Tribolium castaneum: one gene and its partner. The protein of the gene in region 1 purifies or fractionates together with the protein of each later gene. This does not show direct contact. Links are inferred from orthologs where the notes say so. Each region holds a gene or a part of one and is shown in the gene's direction. Other genes may lie near its edges. The genes, in order: Npl4 and tether containing UBX domain for GLUT4.

What was found.
Region 2: the proteins of Npl4 (region 1) and tether containing UBX domain for GLUT4 purify together in Homo sapiens (affinity purification with mass spectrometry; 3 studies listed by BioGRID and IntAct, with this or other methods). This does not show direct contact. The link is inferred for Tribolium castaneum from reciprocal best matches to the Homo sapiens genes NPLOC4 and ASPSCR1.

Annotation. Positions count from the first base shown.
Region 1 is NC_087399.1:8,833,384-8,842,847, forward strand, and holds the start of Npl4 (nuclear protein localization protein 4 homolog), read left to right. Parts: upstream 1-4,455; 5' UTR 4,456-4,567; coding exon 4,568-4,588; intron 4,589-4,723; coding exon 4,724-4,972; intron 4,973-5,020; coding exon 5,021-5,208; intron 5,209-9,362; coding exon 9,363-9,464. Other genes in the region: uncharacterized protein LOC659663, read right to left, coding at 1,467-1,724, 1,777-1,886, 3,608-3,699, 3,748-3,826. UniProt on the Homo sapiens protein: The ternary complex containing UFD1, VCP and NPLOC4 binds ubiquitinated proteins and is necessary for the export of misfolded proteins from the ER to the cytoplasm, where they are degraded by the proteasome.
Region 2 is NC_087394.1:35,464,981-35,473,837, reverse strand, and holds tether containing UBX domain for GLUT4, read left to right. Parts: upstream 1-3,650; 5' UTR 3,651-3,706; coding exon 3,707-3,790; intron 3,791-3,831; exon of another isoform or gene 3,832-3,838; coding exon 3,839-4,588; intron 4,589-4,638; coding exon 4,639-4,996; intron 4,997-5,078; coding exon 5,079-5,431; 3' UTR 5,432-5,494; downstream 5,495-8,857. Other genes in the region: meiotic recombination protein DMC1/LIM15 homolog, read right to left, coding at 1-270; uncharacterized protein LOC103312249, read right to left, coding at 1,289-3,184, 3,268-3,330; ecd (protein ecdysoneless), read left to right, coding at 5,618-5,861, 6,014-6,219, 6,605-8,065. UniProt on the Homo sapiens protein: Tethering protein that sequesters GLUT4-containing vesicles in the cytoplasm in the absence of insulin. Modulates the amount of GLUT4 that is available at the cell surface. Enhances VCP methylation catalyzed by VCPKMT.

The DNA of each region.
Region 1 (9,464 bases):
AACTAAAACTTTAAAGGACAAGCTTCTAGAATATTTTTCTTCGTAATTTATAATGTTTTGTATAATTTAATTGTCTCAATTTTGTTCTTTTTTGGTATATTGTATTGTTATTTGTCCACTTTAGATTAATAAGACCGTTGGAAATAAATTAAATTATTATTATTATTATTACTATTATTATTATTATTATTATTTCGCTTTTTTGCCTCAGTTTTTGAGTGAAAAATACACTATTATTATACAAAATTTTGACAAAAATGACCAAACTACACTGATGTTCATCTTTTGGCCTGTGTATAATCATTTAGCTCTCTTTATCACCGAAAAACACATTTTTTATGCGAAACTTTGTTCAGAAAAAGGCAAAAAATCACCTGATTGCATCAAAAATTATTATTTATTTATTTTAAATCAAAAAACAATTTGTCTAATGAAATGGGTGATATTTAGCTCATTTTATGAGTGAAAAATATTTTTTTGAGAAATAAGGCCGGACTAAATCGTTGCCTTTTTCAAATTTTTAAGCACATGCTTAGTCAAAAATTCACAATAACACAAACTTATTATTAACCTAAGTCGAAAATTTCGTCATCTTACTTGCTCTTTTCGAGCATTTTCACCCAAAAATTGATTAAATTAGCATTAATTCGCTAAAATAAGCCAAAAACCAAGCAAAATTTTGTGAAAAAATTACTAAACTGAATCGAAATTTACGTTTTCTTATCTGTCTGCAGTGATGTAGTGCGTTTTTTTTTAACAAATAAATTTTAAATCTTCACCTAGCGAGCCGCCACTGATACATACATAGATGAATAGTTGAATACTTACGTGTACTACGCAATACAATTATTTTTAAACAATAAGCCGTTAACCAAATTTAAATAAATTTCATTTCCAATAGAATTTTAAAAATCAGTCGAAAATGCGATTTTTGATTCTTTAAAATGCAGTAAAAAATTTCACAATTTGGTTATAATGTTTTATTAATTTACTCGTATTTTTACAATAGGTTTCAAGATTCAACAATTCATACAATCATATTTATTCATATTTTTTTACAAGACTAATGTTACTAATGTATTTTCAAAAGTTGCAAACTGGACCTTTAATAATTTTGTAATTTTTATTTATTTTTAACAATTTTCAACGTGTTTGCCAATTGTGTATTACAAAAATATAATAACCAAGAATTATTGTTGAAGTTGGCAAAAATAAATTACAACCGGTTGTTATGACAACATGACAAATCTATTGCCAACTAAAACACTTATTCTTGGCCACTGTGTATAGAATTATACTATTTTTTTAGTTAGCAACAAAACCAAATTATTTACTGACAAAAGCAACACGAAAAAACTTCCACACTGCTTTATTTAATTTTATCCAATTTCGTACAACACACAAAGCAATTAACTAAAACCCAAGCTCTCCATCAATGCTCCCCCACACTTTTATTTTGCTCTGACCTGACTTCTTCAATTTGTGAATTCAACTGTTCCAAATCGGGGCTATTCTCCCTCGCCCTTTCCTGTTCTTCGGCTATAGGTCTTGCACTTTTCTCCAACTGTGACACCAAAAGCGGTATCGCTGGTCCTAGAGACGAACTAAGAACCTCGTTTGGTAAATCGAGGATATATTTCGGGATGCTACAACCGCACAAAAACTGGGCGATTTCCTCCGAGAAGTTGTTGCAGTTGTGGTGAAAAAGATCGTAAGTTGGGCCCCTAAATATGACGCTTTTAGCGCGTGTTTTTTTCAATTTTTTGAGATGCTTACGCCCAAGTTGATTCGCTGAGACCGTTTATGTAATCGATGAATACTGAATAAGGGACCTGGGTCTCGCCAAGAGTTAACACGCGCAAGGGCTGCCCCAAAGCGGTCGTACCCTGTCAATTATTCAAAAATTAGCGCCAATTTTTGAATAAGACACGGCTACGGATGTCTAAAGGTTAGGATACGAAACGAGGTACAAATAAAACGTTCCCGCCCTCCATAGTTCCCTTAATGTCGCCAGAGAGCGCAGTTGTTCCATTACCATGAGTTTTCAGAAAAAAATATTGTATTTGTATAAAAAATATACAGGCAGATAGAGCATTAAATTCTCAATAATCAAACATAAAAATTGTTGGTAAACTACATTTTAAAAACTTTTACCAATTTGCACTCTGTCCCATTTTTTTCAAAACGCTGCGAATACGGTTACAGACACAAGAAAAATGTTAAGGAAAAAGTTGTAGAGAATTAAATTCCCTACAAAAAAGTCCGGAAGACCGTATCCCTATCTTCAACCATTTAGGCCCCAAAGTCGCGACGCATTTTCTTCATTCTGCCGGTGGTCAAGTATTAGAAAATTAATTTATACCCAAACCTTTGAAGAGATAAATATAGTATCGCGGACTTAAAGAAAATTAAATTCTCTACAAATTTCTATCTTAAATTTTTCTTGTATGTATCTTTAACCATATTCGCAGCGTCTCGAAAAATACGGAACAAAGCGCAAATTTTTAATTTTAAATAATTTTTTTCTCATGTTTCTTATGAAAATTTTTGTTGTTAGTGTTCCCCAGTATGTGCAAGTGCAAAGCTCAACACTTCTGCATTTTTTCCAAGTAATTAGTGAATTGGTTGGATATAAATTAATTTAAAACGAATTGGCGCTGAAACGCTCAAAGCGCCCTCATTTTTACTCTGCGTACTATTTTTTGGGTTTAGAACTTTCGTTTCGTCTCCTAACTTATAGTCCACCGTAGATATGGCGTAATGTAACCGAGGTTCTACTGTATTTTGCATTGTCTAAGTGTAGGCAACCAACAATACACCGACTAAGATAAACCCGAAACAGTCTGTGATTTTTTTCGGAAAATAACTTTTAATCATGCGATTTTGCCTTAATCAGTTAGGAAATATTAATTACGTCTAAAAAACACGCCTCTTTAATTACAATTACGAGACGGCGTCGCTAGAAATAGGGCAAATTTTTTATTTTTAAAGCGACATTTAAATAGATTTATCGAATCAATCAACGCGTCTGGCTCGAAATGCCAAGCTTAAAGACAATTAAACACCGCCAAAAGCCATTCTTGGTCATGCGAAACTCTCCAAATAAAATTGTTTTTGCCAAATAACGTTTTCATAAATCACACATGCGTTACCACCCACACCGCTAATGAAATCATAATAATGCGTAGCACTTTACGAAATTAACTATTTTTTGTGGCAAATCAGTGAAATAAAATTTTTGTTGGCCACCTCACGCCGCTGGAATTCGATTTAGTGGCAAAAACGCAAACAGAAATACACTTCCGCGTCGTTTCGTTGCATAAACACATGCACCACCACAAATAACTTACAAAGATCTAAGAGAATTAAATGCACTAATAAGACTAATGCGAGGGAAAGCCGGTTCACTGGTAGCCAAGTACTGTTTCTCTATTTAATAATAGCCCAATTCCAATTTTAGATTTAGACATGATACAGTTAGACAGTGCCCTCTGTGTATGTAACCCAACTCAGAGACCGCTTCTAAATCCGTCTCGTCATTGTATTTATAACGCAAAAACAAATAAAGTGGATTACATGACCCCACACAATTTTCCCCAACTCTTACCGGATTACAACTGGAAATGCCATGTGAGCCGAAAAAATACTCGCGACCGTAAACGACAATCGCTGTGTGCCAAATTCCGTCGATTTTTTTGTCTGGAAAAGATTTTTGGAGGGAAACTTAACCTCAAATTTTCTACTCACTTATGAGCATAGGCGAAAGGGCCGCTGCCATCCCTTTGGACAGGTCGTAAATGTACAACTCCACCTTGTTTGAGGTCATTTTGGCTGGAATTTGTGAAAATAATTTCAAAAACTTGCTGCCAATGAGCTGTCACTTTGACGTTTTGACAGTTTTTGAGTGATTTTTTAAATTTTGATTTGATTAATAAATAAAAATTAGTTCGAAACTTACCGCAATAATTCTGCTAACTCACTAACTAATCGCAAGATTTGAACCGTTTTATAATGACACAGACACAGAGATCTGGAATCTTCGACGATTTGACAGGTGACTCCGGGTTCTCCGGGTTCCGGTTTATCACCAAATTTGGGTATTTTTTTAACTGGATTTTTTTCAAAAACTAGCGAACTGATTTTGACTACAATTGATTAAAACCACGCACAAATTAATTATGTTGCGAAACGCGCTGCAGGCTCGGTTTGAGTATAATCGCAGTTTCACCTGTGGGTTTATGCAGTTGTGACGAATTCCTCGGTTATTTTATATTTAGAATCAGGAATTTTCGTCCAAGGCTCTTAAATGAATTATAATGAGCTTAAAGTTTGAAAATCGGACAAACTAAAAATATTGACACGCAAAACTAACTGCGCAACCAAACAAATCGGATTATTTATAGAATTTTTCGCGAATGCTTGAAAAATGAAAATTTTGCCAATTTTTCAAAAATCAAACCGGTGGTTTGGTGACTTCGGCTCGTCGAGGTTGGCATTCGTGCCGGTTGACAATTCGACTTGAAATAGTACTGACTAAGCTTATAAAAATATACATGAATTTTTTACAATGTCCAAAGATAAAGCAATAGTAAGCCCCTTACAATTACAAGTTTTTCACCCCGAATCATGTTACCGCCCCCACTCTGTATTTTTTGCACCCCGATGACATAACCTCAAAATTCAAAAACTGGAAGCAGTGACAAAGCCGTTTTTTATTTTTTAGCTATTGAGGGTGCAGTCCCCCGAAGGCACAAAGCGGATCGAAGTCAGCGCTTCGGACTCCACGTGCAAGTTATTCGAGCGCGTCCACGACTCTTTTGACTTGAGCAGTTTTGCGTTCGCTTTGTACAAAGAACGGAACCAGAAAAATGAGATCCCCAGCAGCAAATCGCGGACTGTGGCTGGCCTGGGCCTCCGCCACGGCGACATGATCTATCTGTGCCCCCTAAACGGGGCTGTCTTGTTCCCCACGGTGAGTAGATCGGCCCCAAATCGGGTTTGCGTAATACGGGGGCTGCAGGGGAACAACACGCCGTCGGGTGAGCCTGTCCCGAGGGAACCGACCCCGTCTACAAGCTCCGGAGTGAGCAATTCGCGACCAAGCAGCAGTGTTAGCCTCAACTTTAAGCAAACGGTTAAGGAGGACCCAGTGGACCTCCAGTTGTATAAACTTGACGGCAAGATCGAAAGGAAGCAGGACCCCAAATTGTGAGTCAGTTCAAGTAATTGTTGGGAATCAGTGTTGCCAACCATGTCATGAGAAAAACACCGTAATACTCCACGTTTAAAGTAATAAGAATCGATATTAAAACATGAGAAAGTAAAATGACAAACAGGTTGATACATTTGTTTATTGCACTAAACATTAATAACAGAAAATACGTAAATAATAATATGAAGACAATAATATTTTCAAAATTCTCCTTTGTATTTTTCCAAAAATCTTGGATATTCCATGTTTTTAGAATCTTTCCAGACATTCTTTAGCATTTTTCTGTACTTCTCTCTCTCTCTCTCGATTTTTTTATAATCCTTTTCTTAAGCCGTCTGTAGATTTGGGATCTAGACTCTTCTAAAGATAATTTTAAGAAACCATTTTTAGATTTTTTTGTCTAGATTCTTCTCTAGAATTATTTTGTAGACTGTACTCAAAATTATTGTAGAAACACTTCTACATTCCCATTTTTAGGTTCATTTAAAATTCTTATTATTGTTCTTTAGTATTATTCCTATACTCTTCTTTTAATTTTTCTCAAGATTGTTCTCTGATTCTTTTCTAAAGCCGTTCATATCTTAAATCTTTAGGTTCTTTACCAGATTCTTATTTAATAAATACTTCTAAATTCCTCAAATTATTTTTTATATTCCATTCTTCGTGATTTTAAGAATTTTTCGATAGTTTCGTTTAGAATTTGTTCAAATTTTTCTTCAGATGCGTATTTACAATTATTTTCTAGACTCTACTCAGAATTAATGTATAAACACAGCTACATTTTTTTTTAAATTCTTCGAATTCTTTTGTAGATTACATGGTCTGCCTTATCACAATTCGTCTATAGTTTCGTTTACAGTTTTTTTAGATTATTCATTAGCATTGTTTCTGGAATCTTTAGATAATTTTATAATTCCATCTTTAATTCTTAAGATTCTTCTTTGATTTTTTTTCGAAAGCCGTTCAGGTCTCAAATCTGAATCTTTAAATTCTCTTATAAATTGTCCATCAGATTCTTCCTTATATTTATTTTCTGTTCTATTCAAAATTCTTTAATAAATACTTCTACATTCTTCGAGTTCTCTTTCAGATTCCACTCTACGTCTTTTCAAAATTCTTCGTTTCGTTTAGAATTTTTCCAGATTATTCTTTATTTTTTACAAAAATTTAATATTTTTTTACTCCAAAATGAAACTATTTTATTGAGAAATTGTTTTACATTACTATTCTTCACAATCATCTTCACCATAAATAAGAATAAACAGTGAAACTTTTAGCCTGCATTTGAAGAAAACACAGTTCTAAGTGTGGTCTTCAAACCAATGTATCTTTGTGGGCAAGCCCCGAATCTTTATTTTTGTTATATATTTGGACTACTGAAGCAATTCTCTACAATGTTCTGAACCCGGAATTTCCCAATCTTGAGTTTTTGAGACACCCTGTATAAACATTTCTACATTTTATCGGTGGATTTTTAATAATAGTATATATTCACATATTTTTTTTAGATATCATTTTGTGTCTTATAAACACTTTCCATAGTTTCGTTTAGAATTTTTCCATCTATTATCTTATTTTATCTATTTTCTCTTCAATATTGATTTTTCTTAAAATTATTCTCTGATTCATTCTCTTCTAAAGCCGTCTGTAAATCGAAAATCTGGACTTTTCCTTTATTTCATAAACACTTATTAATACATTAATAAATAATAGTATTAACAAAATATTTAAAAGAATTAACATAAACTGTACCTTGTCATAAATAAAAATAACAACAAACGATGAACAGTGAATCAAATTTTATAAACACTTCTATTTTGTAGAACATTCTAAGTTGCTTTTTGCAGCTCTTGCAAAACTTATTTTAAAAAAATTAATATTATGACTCCGTCCTTTTTATATGTTTATCATTTGACTATGTTTACAAAAAAAAACGCCCTAAGTTCTTTTAAATAAATGTTGATAAATAAAACTAGTTTTTATGAAAAAGGGCCCAATTATCATGCTATCAAAGCTTTCAATGCTCTACCAAACAAAATAAATAAAAACAATTAAGAATCGCATCATTTAAAAAAAAATCTTTAAAATCTTTAAATCTTTATGAGTTTATTTCTCCGGGTTCTTAGTATATCTACGCCCAAAATTATTTTATACTGTGATTAGTTCATTGTTTCTAACTGTGATTTCTTTTTAAAATTGTAAATATGTAATATAATCTATAAATTGTATTGATTAATTATTCTTTTTTTATGTAACGAATATCTGATTCTACTCTGCTCTTAAAAAAATTGTTATAGTTTTTTTTAGAATTTATCCAGATTACTTTTTAGTGTTTCTGTATTTTTCTCTTGTTTTTTGCCAAGTTTCTTCTCTGATTCTGTTCTAATGATTTGTTAGGTCGATTTTTTAGATTGTTTTGGAAAGAAATCTTACGATTCTTCATTAATTTTTCATCAAATTGTTCTTTAAAAAAATATCCTCAAAATTTTTAATAAACTCTTTCTATATTTTCTAAATTTTCTTTTAAATTCTACTCTATTTGTTTTCAAAGTTTTGTTATAGTTTCATTTCGAATTTCTCTTTAGCGTTGTTTCTGATATACTCTTTCCTTTCTTTTAGTGTTTTCTTACGATTTTTCTCTGATTCTTTTTTAAAACCGTTTGTAGTTTATTTTATAATCTCCAGATTCTTGTATAAATCCTTCTCACCATACTCCTTTATAATAATTATTTTCTCAACTTGAAAATATTTTCTAAACACTTCTACATTTCTCAAAAACTTTTGATAAAAATAAATTTAAAATATTTTAAAGTAGTTGGCCATGGAAAAATTATTTCACATAAAAGGTGTGAATAATCTAGAAATTTTGTTAACGGTTATTAAAGGAAAAAATATGAAATTATCAAAATAAGCTGTTAAATTTATTTTCAATTGAACAAATATACGATTTTAATTACATAAAAAATGTGCTGAAAATTGAAAACGATGCGTCACTAACTATTTGATGACACTTTTTTATGATTTAATAAAGTGGAATGGAGGTGACGTTTATAATGTTAAGTATTTTTTTACCGCAGATGGGATTTGATTTTGGTGTTTAGATTGATATTTTTTTGTAAAATAAAATTTTATTTATAAGAAATCATACAATTAATAAATTTTTTCTTTTTTTCCAACATTTCATGTTTAATTAGAAAATGGAATGACAATGTAAACTTGCCATTTTAAATCTAAAAACAAATATTTTTATTAATCGCAAAAATTTGATCTAACAATTATTTATTATGTTGTTTTTGAATTAATTAGTGTTTAAAAAATCATAAAATTATAAATACTTTTTGAGTAATACATTTTTCATAGTTTGAATTAAAAATCCAAAATTTTTTTGTGGCCTACTATAGAAAAAGCGGAATATTTTGGTTATTTTTAATAATTTAAAAATAATGTATTACACAAATAGGCATATGAAATCAGAAAAAAATAAACTTTTCAAAAATGTCATAGCCAACTAAAAAAATACAACTTTATGTTATTACAGCTAAACGAATAATTAGAAAAAATCGGTGATAACATTACTAAATTCTCCGTAAAAAAGTGCCTTTATAATGTCTGTGTTTCAAGTGTGTATCTTTTACAATAAGGAAGAAATGAATTTTTGAAGATTTCGCTAAAATATCAACTTTTGTTTACGAAAACAAAAGACGATAGCGGGATGCGGATTTGACCAAAATTATTTTCCCAAAAAACGAACCTGAGAATATGTCACTCGTTTTTTGCTAAACCCTATTCGGACATCCAAAATGCAGCACCCTGTACATTTATCTCCAGATTCTTCTCTGGAACTGTTTTATAGACTGGACACAAAATTATTCCCTATATTCTCCAAATTTAATTCTTTTTTAGATTCTACTCTGCTCTTTCATATTTCTATCTTAATTAGTTTAGTAACAATCTAGAATTTTTCTAAATTGGTCTTTAGTGTTGGTACAAAACTTAACATTCTAAAATAAAGTTACCTCATTTTAAACAACACCATCTCCTCCACTTTCCTTTAATTATCAAAAAATATGTATATTATTTTAGAATTCATCAAAATTGGCAACGCTGCCAACTTAAATCGAAAGAGTTTACAACAGCGAATTTGTTGCAGATGTCGCCACAATAGCAACTCTCGCTGTGTCCACTGCTCGGCCCTGGAGCCCTACGACGAGGCTTATTTGCGCGAACACAACGTCAAACATTTGTCGTTTCA
Region 2 (8,857 bases), on another chromosome or scaffold:
ATTTCCGCAAATTTCCTGAATTTTGCTTACTTTACTCGGATTAAAGCTCTTCAAAGCCAAAAGTTTGTCGGTTGTGGTCATTTGGAGGCCCTTGACTGTGTTTATGCCAATTTTTCGCATTTCTTCGATATCTGGAAGAGGGACGCCGTGTTCGGTCAGCATGTAAATATCCTGAAAGAAAGGTTCGCTCTCGATGTCCAATTCCTCCGTTTCAACAGATTCAGAAGGACTAGCTTCTTTTTCTTCAATTTCTTTTATAGCTGTGTCCATGTTGATCGAAATAAAGGATAAATAAATTAGAATTTTACAATCGAATACAAACAACGCGTCCAAACTGTGCTCTCAAATGTCAAAAATATTGGGTTACCAACAAAAAAAACAATGATGACAAAAAAACTAAATTAGGGAGAGACCTTCAATGTTCACCGAAGAACATGTTGGAATCCTATTTCTCATCCTTATTTCCTTTTTTCCAGGCAAAAATGTTATAAACCTCCACGTAGTCCTTGCTGGACAAATTAGAACAATCCTTAAATACCCGAGTAATAATCAGCCTGAAAAAATTTTTGAAGCAACCAACATTACATTTCATAGATAACGTGGATAGTAAAATAGATACTTGGTTTATTTGTGTATTTTCTAGTCAAAAATAGTGGACGTGCGCAAATCCTACCGGATTTTTTTTTAATTTTTTTATTAACAATGTTTTTCGGGACTTTCCTAAACAAACTCAGTTAACTAAAATTTTTTAGACATAACTTAAATATCATCGTTTAAGAAAAAAGTTATCAAAGGATTCAACGGTAAAGTTTGAAGTTATGTTTCACCCTTACCTTCATCTCTTTTTCTCTCAAAACAAAAAGTACGTTTACAATTTACGCCTTTACGTACTTTTACATTTTGCCGCATTATTTTCTTATTTCTGTCAGTTTTATGCTCCGCTTTACGTTTATACGTCAACGTGTTCTCTTAATCTCTTATTTTTGTTTACGTCTTGTTTCACTTACCTTTTCCACACTTTTTTTCATAGAAAAATTGTCACCCTGATCCGGGTTCGAATACCCGACCCGAAAATTAATTGATAAAGTCTGGAAACATTTCAAAGTTTACGAGTAATTTAGAAAAAGAGACAATTTTAAATAAATAAAAAAAGTATATCATGCATCAAAATTATATATTTTTCATCAACATATGCAGCAAAGAACAAATTACCGGAATAAACAATGAAAAAAACTAAAACTCATCTGACATATCATAACTAGACCTAGAATGAAATACTACTAAATACCTAAGGAATTAATGTCATAGCATCAAAGTTGTGGTTATTCTGTAAGTAACTGATGGACACTTGTCCATTCTCATCCATGTTTATCCCCATTAGAACAAAACGTGTTATGGTATTCCTGATTACATCTTTATCTTCAAGTACTTTTAAGTAATTCCTGTCCCTCATGTCAAGCATTGCTTTTTTGTTGCTCTCCTTATACTTCGTTTCGATAAGCATTAAGAAACTATCTTTAATAATGCCACAATCGATACTTCTGCTATGTTTTACCCCATTTTCTGTGAAATTAAAGTTGAGTTCAGCACTGTCCTTAAATCCCATATTACTGATCAAAATTTTTATTGTACGACGGATGTTCTCTTCGTTCTTTTTAATCCATTTTGCTGCATAGTTTTGTAAAGCATCTTCAAGACTCGTATGAAATTTTTTGAAGTCATCATAATCACAATCCCTCTCAGATATTTTCAGAAAGAATTCTCTGCAGTCCTCAGTAGGAATACTATTCCTATCAAATACTTTAATTTTAGAGTCTGTTATCTTTCCCTCGATTTTCTCTTTAATCTGTTCGTTGGGTATTACGAGCAGCCCAGGCTTGTTAGCTACAAATGACAAATAGCCTTGCTCAACAAGAAATGAGAAAAAAAAGTCACAACGTGGAAATTCGACGTTCTGAGGGTCAACATTTCCAATTATCTCTACCAACTGCAGGATATCCTCTACAACCAAGGTTTCATATTTTTTAATCTCTATAGGTTTATACAACAGTAGTTCTGTTTGAATTATTTTCATAATTGTAGGGAATCTAAAAGCTTTTTCGAGACCTACAATATACCTGGTGTCTTGCCATTCATATATAAAATCATCCTCTTGAGTTCTGCTAGCATATTCTAGCACAGACCAGATGTTGTATATCTTTACTCCACGAACTGTAGAATAACCGTTGAATTTTTTTTCTGTTTCAGCAATTCGCTGATCATCAAATTGATATGTCTTCCTTAACAAATTCCGAATTTCCATAACTGTCAAGCCATAGTAAGGAACAAAAGAGTGATTTTCCAGAAATCTGAATGGCTTTATGTTTGAACCAGAAAGACCCATTCCGGAAATATGGGAAATTCCGGTGATAAATGCATATTCTACATGTTGCTCAATGTCATTTTTCACAGCAGCTTGGATTAAACCTAAACAAAACTGTATGACCTTCGTTAATTCATCTTTTGCCTTTATACGCAATATTGCTTGCATGATAACCGAATCGTACTCGTCGATAAGTAGTACTACTTTTTTGTTAAAGCTCTCAAAGACATAACGGACTAAAGTTCGCAAACCGTCAGATATCAAATTTATATCCATTGCTTTCCTTTCATCCCAGTCGGCGGGGTTCAACCATTTGGCATATATATTTTTGTCCCATTGACTTAATGCTTTTTCCGATATTAAATAATTATGTCTCCTGAAGGCTTTACTTAAAATCCGACAACAGAATGCAACTCCATCAGAAAAACTTGCGATTGGCGTGTCACATTTGAATGAAATGTGTAATGTAGGATATTTTCCAAAATGTTTGTTCATCAAATCTGGATTCTTAGTTATTTCCAACTGAAGCTCTTCAAACAGCTTGTAATTAGCTGTCTCTTTTACCTTTATTTGGAATTCATCTTCTGATAGCATCTTATATTCTTCTGGTGGTACTTGCAACTCAAAACAAGTCTTAAGCATCAAGAGATTTATAGTCTTTCCGAAACGGCGTGGAGCTGTCAGCAGCACTCGGCTACGACCGCATTTAAGGAAAACTTCTAACAGAGTGGTTTTATCGATGTAATACGACTCATCCCTCGTCCCCAGAAGACTAATAAAGTCCGATGTGCCGAGCATCTTATCTGGTTTTCCAGACGGTGGCTATCAATAAAAAAAGTAAATGAACAATAATATTTGTGAATTAACAAATAGAATATGGTTTATAGGGGCATAATTTCACTTACGTTGCTACCGGCAGATACATTGAGAAAATCTTCATCATCAGAATTTGGTTGTTGTGGATCCATAGACTCTGCGCAAGTAAAATAAATTAATAAAATAATTTAAATAATAATAAAGTAAAATGATGATTTTCTGTACTGTTTATGATTATTGTTGTAAACGATAAAAAGCTTTTGAAATTGTTTCAGAATAGCTATTATGAGATGTTGTATATTCTAGTACTTAAGATATTGGTTAGTTAAAATAAACAATTATCTTAATAATGCGTAAACTAAAACATCAATATAAATCGCAGTAATAATTTTACATTTTAATTTTGATGAAACAAAACTGAATTGTCACTGGTGAGATGACGTTTAAATTGTTAGGTTAACTGTCACTTCAAAATGAAAAATCATCAACATTGCTTAAGAATTGTATAAAAATAATCACTTATTCAAAATGTCGTGTAGCACCGTTTCAGTCTTGGCCCCAAACGGCCGTCGACAGACCGTCAAATGTACCGCAAACACGACCATAATGCAGGTACAAAAAATATTAAAACTAACCCCAAAAAAAACACCTACTTTTCAGATTATTGAAGAAGTTTGTCGCAAACAGGGTTTCAAGCCGGAGGATTACGATATTAAGCACCACAACAAAGTGCTTGACACAACTATTTCGTTCCGTTTTTCTGGTTTGCCAAATAACGCTCAGTTAGAATTAGCAACAGCAACCAAAGCACGCACGGACTCGGAAGTAATTCTAGCCATAAATTCTGAAAGTGGCGACCGAGTCATGGGCAACTTCCAACCAGATGACACTTTATGGAGTGTACTAACTAAATTGTGCCCCAGTATTAAACCTGATGACAATCCTGTTTTGGTTTATATGCGAAATGAAATTTACGGCGACAATTTGCAAAAAGCCACTTTGCGAAGCTTGGGCCTAAGAGGTGGTAGGGCGATGATGCGGTTAATGTATCGAAGGCCTGACGAACTAAAAGTCCAAGCAAATGTCTCTGCTCCTCTGCCTACGAAACCGGTAGAGGAGAAGCCCTTTCATCGCACTTTAAAGACTGAAGCTGAATATTCTAAAACTACCGATGTGAAGCCTTTACAAAAGAAAACTGAGGTTGATTTATTGAAACTAGCACGGGAAAAACGAAAATTGAGCAGCCCTTCCAAAACTCCGGAAACGGAAACGCATTCGCCTAAAACTAAACCCAAAGTTGAGTCTGACGACGAAAAAATGGATGTTGATTTGCCAGAAAACATCGCAAATTACCCAAAAGAGCCAGTTACCAACCCATCATCTAGTCAGCTTGAGGACGATTTTGTTTTTGTATGTAGCATTTTATTTTTATTATTTTATTTTGTATTTGAAATTTTCAGTTGGGCGAGCGCAAGGCAATGTTATTTTCTCTCGAATCGGCGCGTTCTTTACCAGCTGAAGACCTACCAGACGATTTTTTTGAGCTCACAATTGATGATGCTAAGAAAATTCTGGGCGATATTAGAAGAAAGCGAAACGAAATGGACAACGCTAATCTCATGACCTCTGCAATGCGCAATTTAGAAGAATCAAAGAAGCAATTACGCCAACTGCGTAAATATAAACAGTCAGTAATACGCGTCCAGTTCCCAGACAGGTCCATCCTTCAAGGGAGCTTCAAGCCCAGCGAAACTGTTAAAGATATTAAAGATTTCGTCACTTCTTTCCTAGAAGATCCAAACAGTGATTTTCATCTTTGTAAGTATTGTTCTACTTCAGTCAAGTGACCTTTGACTCTAGTCAGAAACTACTTTGATCACATGTTTAAATATTGTTACAGATACAACGCCGCCTAAAAATGTTCTCTCGGACGAATCAAAACTAGTGGAAATTGGTTGCGTGCCGGGGGCTTTGTTGCATTTAGGAGCAAATGGTGATGGGAGTTCTGTGTGCTTGAAGGCGGAATTGAGGGATAAATTTACAACAAACTCAAAAGCAAGTTTAGCGGCGTCACAGTTGCGGCAAAAGGGAACAAGACCCGAATCTCCGAGTGAAGAAATGGGCCAGGATGAGTCTATGGATACACTGACTGAAGCAAATGCTGCTGGGCCAAGTACACAACCAACCAGTTACGAGAGGAAAGTAATAAAATCAACGGAAAAAGTCCCTAAGTGGTTTAGACCATCAAAGTGATTTATTAGTGTTAAGTTTATATGAGTTGGTACTTATATTAAATAAAAGCACTTCAGCATCTAATTTTGTTTTATTTTGGTGAGAGGAGCGGGTGTTTTTGAATAGTTTGGGGAGTTTTGTTTTATTGGCACCAATGGTGTGTCAAATGTCATTCAAATTTTTTAATTGATTACTTTTAAAACAACAATGGCAAGTAAAGTTAACGTTCTTGAGTCCGTTCGTGAAGATGATTTTGTTGAATATCATCTTTTTCCACCTATTGATTCCCAGGACGACAAAGAACAAGAACTTGCGTTAACCAGAGTTTTAAATCAGTGTGAAAAAATCGTAAAAAGGTACACCGATGAGTATTTATGGCATAAAGACGAATTTAAATTAACTGTGAGAACGTGGATTAGTAATTCACTGATTCATGATAGTGAAAAAACAGGTAATGGTCGTATTTTATGACTTCACATTAAAAAAGTGCTTTTACATTTTTTGAGGTTATAAACCAGCAAATGCTTTGTTTAAAGTAAATCTGTATAAATCACAATGTAACAATTTTTTGAATCACCTAATTCGAGATCAATTGTTTTGCAGAGTATTTACCACCACATTTATATGGCGTAACTCATTTTGGAGACAATATAGAGGACGAGTGGTTTATTGTGTTCCTTTTACGTCTCCTAACTAAGGAAATTGATGGTTTAATAGCTCGTGTGCACGACGCTGATGGCGAATTTATTTTAATTGAAGCAGCTGATTACTTACCTTTATGGGCAGACCCTAACAACTGCGAAAATAGGGTAAGGTTTCTCATTATCTGTGCTTGTCTTTTTTCTAATTCAAATTAGAATAAAGTGATAATTGATTTTTTTGTTGGAAATTTTAATTAAAAAACGTTGCTATGGTAAGAGTGTTTTAAAATAGTGTTTATAATCTAGCATTCAGATGTGAAAAAGAAGGCTTAAAATGTTACCATCAAAAAAATAATTTAACGAATGCAACACAAGTCAATGAACGAAGCTGTACCAACATGTGAAAAAATTGCAACAAAATTGCAGCTCTATAAGATAGTACTTCTACATTAAAATTCACTTAAGTAATAATTTATTAGTTAAGCATTTATAATTATTTATACATTTCTGTAATAACTGAAGCAAAACTGACTTGGATCTGGTTTTTCTCCAGGTATACATTTACCAAGGCAACATTCATATCATCCCTCTAGACACCTCGGATCACCTCCCAGAAATGGCCCAAATGGCGGTCAATGAGGCCGTCTCAACAATCCAAAACAATCCGATCGACACTTTAGCCTCATCAGACATCCAAAACTGTATAATCAACAAATTAAAAGACTACCCTGACAAAATCCAGTCCAGTCTTCACCATGCCACTGCCTACCTACCAGTAGGTGTCGCTGCAATTTTGCGCCACAAACCCGGGCTTATAGCCCCCGCCGTCCAAGTCTTTTGTAATCGAGACCCAGTTGACGCCAAAACCTGCAAAGCCATGAAATATTTTCCGCCCGAAAACCGCGTAAATGCCAGAGTGACATTTACTAAATGTTTATACGCAATGCTAACTCACAGTAAATACGTTCCGGATCGCAGAACCGGCTGGAACTTGCCTAAAAGCGACAGCCCACAGTTTAAAGCGCAGAATTTAGGCGTTAAAATCGCCTGTGGGTTTGAGATTTTAGCCGCGCAAGCCAAACCAAGCCAGGACATTGAACAGGATAAAGGGTGGGTTAATTATTTTGAGAAACTGAAAGAGAAAAATTATTTTCGGGGGTTGTTGGAGCATTCAAGAGAATACAACGATTTATTAAACAAAGCGAAAGAGTACTACATCAATCACCGAGACTCTATGCACTATTCTCCAGCCATTGGGCAAGAAATTGTCCAGTTGATCAAAAATTTGGATTTTAAGATCGATGAATTGAAGGAGGAAAGTAATTTGCCTGACGATGACGATTCGTGGCTTAACGTCAGCCCGGAAGAGTTGGATAAAATGTTAGAAGAAAAATACGGGCAAAAGAAATTCGTTACAGTGAACAACAACTCAGACGCCGCCTCTTTCACTGAAAAAATCTCCTCGTTCTTAAACCACGTGTCAGATATTGACGGAGTTGAGCACCCAGACCTGGACAATTCCCCAACTCGGCCCCCTAGAGGCGTGAAAAAACGCACCAAAGTTTCGTTCGCAAGTGGCACAAAAACCGAGACAACAGCTAATAATAGAGTTAGTTTTGATCCGAATGCGTTTTCTTGCGCCGTTCAGAACATCCTGAATTTTGTCATTCCGGAAGATGACAGTTGGGATTTGGATTCTGGGTCTGATATGAGCGATTACGCCGACGATGTTGCCGGGAATGAGGAGATGTACGAAGGGGTTAAAAATAAAATGCAGGAGTATATGGAACAGATGGATAAGGAACTGGCGGCGACCACAATCGGGGAAAGTTTCGAGAAGAAGAACGGGGACGGGTTTGAGGATATTGAGAGTTTTAAACCTGTTGATATTGACGTGAATGCGTTGAAGAATATTCTGGAGAGTTATAAGTCGCAGTTGGGGGAGGCGGGACCGTCGAGTAATATGTTAGGGCCGATGGGGGTGCACTTGGATGTCAGTAATAACGATGATTGAGATGATTATTTAAGCGCGATTTATTGATTTACTGTTAATTTTTGTAGCGCGTGCCAATAAGGAGGTTTACTGCCATTGTCTTTTCACTATTGATGTATACAGTGTACGAGATTCACACGTTAAGCTGTACAGAACACGAACGATTTGATTACATGCTTAATATTACCTCAGAAATATGAAAAATATTTTGTGTTAACGTTACGTTGTTTTTGCAACTATGACACATTTCTTTTTTTCGTTCTGTACAGCCGCATATGTATTTTAGATTTAGCTGCTTGTTATGAAAATTAAAAGAATATATTTAATACTTTAGGATATTATGCTTCGTTAAATTAATATTTTTATGTCGATTGATGCTAGTCTTCATAAACACTTTGTAACTTTTTTTACAGACAGTAAATTTTTGAAATAATATTTACGTTGTTTCATTACTCCTTTGTAAGACTAAAATCCCTAAAAACACTATCTGGATACAGGATAAGTGATGCTGATGAGTAACACAGTATGAAAAATGCAGCGTTTTTTATAAATTGCTATGATGAGCTAATTAGAGCGTAATTTTGCAGTGATTGATTTTTTTTAATTATTCGTTTTGTCAAATGCCTATACATTTATTTTTATTGACCACAAATTGTTGATGGTTTGGTATGTTTTAATAAACTAACCGTATAAATAATAATTTATGTCTTACGTTCGACTCTAAATTAAAAATTTTAAGAATAAAAGTTCAGAATATAAAAATGTGATTAATGATTAGGTAGGAAGTGGGCATTTTTTTAATCATCAATTTTT